Coturnix japonica: one gene and its partner. The protein of the gene in region 1 purifies or fractionates together with the protein of each later gene. This does not show direct contact. Links are inferred from orthologs where the notes say so. Each region holds a gene or a part of one and is shown on either strand. Other genes may lie near its edges.

Region 1 (3,500 bases):
AGTAGAGCTGCAAGCAGTCTTTTCTTTTGATCCTTTACTGTTACAACAATTTCAGACCTTATGTGCAGGTACTTTTATGTATTTGGCACACTGGTCATGAGGATGTTATTGAGATGCTTGACTAGCATTGAGAATGCCAGAGTTAGCATTGCATCTCCTGGTTAGAGCTGTTTGACATGTGTGAAGAAGCCTATTTTACTCTTTGACTTCCCGATTTCTATTTGTATTCATTTTTAAAATAAAATATATTCTTATTCCTCGTTTTATTGTCTTAGTGTTGCATTTTCAGCCTCTACAAAGAAGACTCATTTAACCTTTTTCTAAAGTTCACTTGTTTTTTTTTTTTAAAAAAAGCCAAATCACCCTACAAAAACACTGTCAAGTTTTTGAATTTTTACATAAATTATCAGTGTATAGATTTTGGCATAGGATTGTATTTCAGCAGTGTATGAAGAGCTTGGGAGAACACTTTGGACGCTAGCCTGGAAGGAGCAGCACTCCACAGGGATGCCTGTCATTGAACTAGGTTTGATGTAGACTTAACGGCTTTGCGTACTGTTTCCTTCCAGATTTCTCTGGAGAAAAGCATAACAGCTGGTTGATGTCAGGGCACTGTCTTGGCTGTCCTCTGTAATGGTGCAAATCTGACATGGTTCAGTGCTGGAATCATTAGGGAACTTGACAGGCCAAGCAGCACACTCCATCCCTTCTCATCACTGTTAAAGTTTCTTGCAGTGAGACAGCTAAATCAAGGGTCAAACTGTAACCTCTGTAGCTCTCCTAATAACATCTCAAACTGGCTACCTCCTTTATGTGATAGCATCCAAGTTTTGTTCATCCCAGTGTCATTTTGTAAACCATTCTTAAGTGATTATCCCCTCAAGTCCTCTCTGTGCCACAGAACTCAATTTTTCCAGTCTCAGTAGCCATTCTGTGGGGATGGTTGTACACAGCAGTTTGTCATGTCTTTGAGCCCCTGCTCATCTTAGGGGAGGAAGGAAAGCAATTGTCTGTAAGCTAGAGGGAGGTAGAAGATAGATGGAGGGTGAGCAGTAGAGACAAGGAGGGAGTATCAGTGAAGATTTTTCAGAAATGCCAGAAGAATATTCTAGCACACAGTTGTGTTCATTCACTCTGTTACTAAACTGTGCCTGTTTACTGTCCAGAAGAGTCATAGTGTCAGTATTTTAGCTTCTTTCAGGAGATGCTGGTTATTGTTTTTATTGCAACCTGATATGGCATGTGAGAAACATATGTTGGCTCTTGGTTTTGTAGTGCTTTTATTCAATGCTTTTTTTCTCTTTAGTTATTTAAACGCCGAAATGTTGCAACAGCTGAAGAAGAAACGGAGGAGGAAGTGATGTCAGATGGTGGCTTCCATGAGGCTCAAATGAACAACATGGAAATGACTTCTGTAAGTGTTGAGAAAGGCCTGCTCAGTTTCAACAAACAATATTCCTGTCACACAGTGAGTTTAAGGGAATGGAATTGCAGAATTTTGTGGAAAATGGCATTCAAAGAGCTTCCAGACAACTCTCAAACACCTGTTTCAGTGAAGAGACCTGAAACAGATTATGGGAGAAAAATTTTATGGGAGTAAATAATAAAGAGTAAATTATAAGAGACTGGCTGGAAGCTTGTAAATAAATTTTCAGGTAATAAAATTGAAATTGGGGTGTTGGAATCATAACTAGACCTGCTTAGCTGGAATGTCCTTGAACTCCATTCCAAGCTGGAATTTCATCCTATGGGATAGCTGCCTTCTAATGGAAATTAGGCTTTTATGCTATCTCTGTATTTCTTTAGGATTCTCCTGTTTGTGGAAAGAAAAATGTTATGGGATTCTGGCTGTAGCAGAATGAATAAATTAAAATACAGCCTTCATTCAGTCCAGAAGTGCAACCATTGATCTTTGTACTTGTTTTTGTGTTGAGAGTGTGTTTTGAAGCAAATCAGACTACTTTTGATTTATATTGCAGATTAGACAATGAAAATTACTCAAATGCATATAATCAACATAATAGATAATTAGTGGAAAATAGTTTTATTCTTCAAGGTAGTCCTAAAACATCAGATGAATCCTAAATGCCATTTAATTCTTTGTGTAGAACTTTGTATGAAATAAATGGATGGTGAAAAGTAGGGAAAGCCTATGTTATGCACGTTATTTCAAGTATTAATTTTAGTTCTTAAGAGTTAGTACTGAAAAAGAAGGATCTAAAAAGTTCTGTGTGTTTTGGTTCCTTTTTATTGGCTTCTGTGACAAAAACTAGACTTAACGTTTTGTTACTGAGAGCGCGAGTACTGACTAAGTATATGTATTATAGCACTGTTGTCTGTTTTCCTGTCTGTTAAGGATTTGGATCTAACCACTATAATGTTTTGGATCAAAAAGAGAGGGGAAAAAAATACAACATCCCTTAGTTGACTTTTCATGGATTTAGATTAATCAAATCAAACAAAATGTCAGATTTTCTGTTTCATAAAAAAAACTCACTGATTAGTTTGGCCATATTAATGGAAACTGTCAATATTGTGGGAAAATAGGTGGTATATTTGATTATGATAACAAGCATTAGGCATTTCAGTGCTTTAAAAAAAAAAAAAAAAAAAAAAAAAAAGTTCCTGTACATTTTGTTATAAGAATAACTTAAAACATAGAAGTTGCAAGTACCTAAACAATAATCGGTATTCTTGTATAACTGTAAATGCTATTCTAATTTAAGCTACTTTTTGTTAAAGCTGACAATATTGCAGTTATTCTATAGGATGGGAGATAGAGAAAAAAGGAGAAAATACTTGTGAGAGATTCTGAAGAGAACTTTTTGTGGCATAGCTTAAAGAAATTCTAAATTGTCTTCTAGGAAGAAGACTATACTTAAGAATGATTGTGATTATGTATCTGTATGTGTATGATGACTCATTTGTTGTTCTTATTAGTTCTCTGTCTTTTTGCTATTTTAGGGTAAAAAAAAAATTGACAGTTTTAGCAAATATTGTAAACTTCTCCCCACTAATCCTCAATTTTCTTTTCCTCTTGCTCTCTGTCACTCATGCTCTGTCTCCCCCCACCTGAATACAAGAGTGCTGTTATCACATCTGATATGATTGAGATGATTTTCTCCAATAGCCCAGAACAGCAGCTTTCAGCCACTCAGAAATTCCGAAAGCTTCTCTCTAAAGGTAAGGATTGAACTTGCTGAAAAATCTTGGGTGTCCTTGGCATCTATTTTGACTTTGACAGCTGTGAAGATCAAGCTCCATGTGGAAATTTCTAGGTGAAGAGTTTGGTCCAAGCAGAACTCTCTTGTAATATGCCTACTAGGTGTGTGTAACAGTCACTTCTATTTGTGAAACCTGTACAACTTTTAGTGATGCAGGTGCAATTCTGTTATGTAATGTAAATTTAAGCATTTTAGTCAGTGTCTCTATGGCTCACAATTTATTAATTCTGGAAGTTGAACTGTGTGCATATGTGCACCGAAGTGACTTTGCAGATC
Region 2 (2,459 bases), on another chromosome or scaffold:
TTATTTATCTCTTCAGTAGCCTGTTAAAGACTGAGATTTATCTCTGCTGTTGTCTCTTTCCTCCTTTCCTCCTTCCCTTCATACAGAAAAATCCGTAAGAAGTTTACCAGATTGCAACTGAAAAGAGCTTCCAGAACACCTTGTTCTCCAGTTCTTGCGAAGACAAAATCTCTCATGAAAAATAGGCAGGCACGAATAGAGCCAAGAACCATCACGCACTGAAGACACAACAACATCAGCAACATAATTATGTTAAAATCTTGTTAATTGTGAACACAGATGCAATGGGACCTTCCACATCTTCAGGACCTATATGGACCTATATTGTGGCTGGGTTCTGTGTTCTGGGCAGGATCCAACAGTAGCCCTTGTTCTCCTTTGTTTCTGTAAGGGCTACTTCAGGTTCGCTGTGCAGGCCTATTGATGATTGTCCCGCTATTTCCCCCACTTTCCCCTGCCAGACTTGAATGGTCAGAGAGGCACTATTCATACTGACCACAAGGAAGAAATTTGGATGCAGAGTACCCCCCACAGTTTTGTCTATGCCTTCTAGTGGTGCAATATAAGAATAAGTAACTTTCAAAACAATTGCCATGTATTTGTAGCAGGATTTAGCCTTTAGGTGTCAGCATCTTCAGAAAGTGCTGCAGACTTCAGATATTTGAATTTTTTAATATTGGCTTGAATCACTTTGGATTTGATTTTCTGAACTGTTGAGCGACCAGAGGCTGAAACAAGGAGTTGTTGTTCCGCAGCTCAGAAACTTTGACCAAATTAGGTTGTACCCAGAATTAATGGCCAGGTTTAAAATGCTGACCACATTAACTTTGGTTAAAATCCTGGAAAGTATCATGTGTGGCCATGAACATCTGGCCGGTCTGATTATCTATATATTTGCAAGCATCCACCTTTTTCTTTGGGGATTTTTAGCATTTCTTGAAGTCTACAGGAACAGTCAAAACCAGCAGAACACCATTCCCAGGAAAACATGAGGAAATAAGAGTATTTCCTGTTAGCAATGACTCTCCACTAAATAATTACTACATTTTTATACATATGGACAAGAAAGTTGTCTTGCTGCAGAATGCTTTGAAATTCATACTTGTAAGGCTACAGGTGAAGACTTACCATGGAGAGATGATGTGCCTTTTGTAACTACATGTAGGAAGCTGTCAGTCCCCTGAAAGTGGGAATGGCAACAGAGGCAGGTCTTTTTTCTACTCAGGTACTTACAGGTGAACAATCTCTGCCGTTCTTTGAGATCAAGAGGCAAGTAGAGTGTAGCACTGCTGTGTAAACCTAGCTGAGATACATTGATTATCTTAAGCAAGTTATGTCTTTCAACGATTTTGTTTCCATATGGCTTTTAACAGATAGTCAGACACTGAACACATCACCATAAGCTGGGATAAGCTTCAAGATGTTTTTTTCTAGTTCTTTATTAGGTAACTTTAATGGCACTGTATGGATGTCAGGTTATTATCTGGCTATGGATTTATGCCCAGCTCTGTGGTTAGAAAGATGAAGGTGAAAGTAGTATCTCATACCTCTGGGTGATTTCCCCCTTCCCAAAATATATTCCCCCAATTTATTTACAGTTTCAGTCTGAAAGAGCATCTCTGATACCAGCCTGTAACTAGCCATGCTGACCATGTCAGATTTTGAACTCTTGAGACAGTCATCCAGATGCTTCCTTGAAAAAGAAAGCACAGTGACCTCCCGAAGGGACTTGATTTTACAGAGTGATGGATCCAGGTCTTGTCCGCTGTCCTTCACCAGCAAGCAAAGGGTGAATAAGAAGGAGAGATTTTGTCCTGAAATGCTTCTAGTACCCTGAGCACCCTAATGAATGTCACTGATTGGGAATCAATTGGAGAAGACCTGGGATTCATCCGCTTACAGATTTTTCCAGGAGCCACTGAAGTGTGCAGCCCTAGAATTCTCTTCTATCCACACGATCTGCTTTTTCCTCACAACAGGAGAGCTTTTCATCAGATACTGAACAGACAAAACCCGTTCTTATTAGCAAGAATTGCCTTTATTAACTGCGACATATGGAAACACCTTCTGCATAATAGCTTTCTCACCCATTAAAATAAAGAAAACGTGATTATTCAGCAATCTATTTGACTGAAAGTATGAAAAACATGAGCAGAAAGAGCATTGTCTCCCTCAGGCATCACTGAAATCACACACAACAGACTCATTTTCAAAGTGTCTTTTGCTGTGAGGTGATGGATATTTTTTTTTACCCTGCCTTATTAAGCTTGTATTTGAATGATTCTTTCAGTCAGTGTGCTACAATGTCTAGCCAGTATTTTGTAAAATCCTTGTGTGTTTCTGCCTTTGACAAAAGTATTAGTATTTGTACCAGTCTCTTGTGACTTCATTTTTTCTTCTTTTCCTTTGAGGAGCAAGAGATTCATAATATGACTCCCTGTTATGCAGCTTGATGCAGT

Evidence for each region.
Region 2: the proteins of KPNA1 (region 1) and MTA3 purify together in Homo sapiens (affinity purification with mass spectrometry; 3 studies listed by BioGRID and IntAct, with this or other methods). This does not show direct contact. The link is inferred for Coturnix japonica from reciprocal best matches to the Homo sapiens genes KPNA1 and MTA3.

The regions. Positions count from the first base shown.
Region 1 is NC_029516.1:69,214,623-69,218,122, reverse strand, and holds part of KPNA1 (importin subunit alpha-5), read left to right. Parts: intron 1-1,306; coding exon 1,307-1,414; intron 1,415-3,083; coding exon 3,084-3,183; intron 3,184-3,500. UniProt on the Homo sapiens protein: Functions in nuclear protein import as an adapter protein for nuclear receptor KPNB1. Binds specifically and directly to substrates containing either a simple or bipartite NLS motif.
Region 2 is NC_029518.1:21,360,750-21,363,208, forward strand, and holds part of MTA3 (metastasis-associated protein MTA3), read left to right. Parts: intron 1-86; coding exon 87-222; 3' UTR 223-2,459. UniProt on the Homo sapiens protein: Acts as a component of the histone deacetylase NuRD complex which participates in the remodeling of chromatin.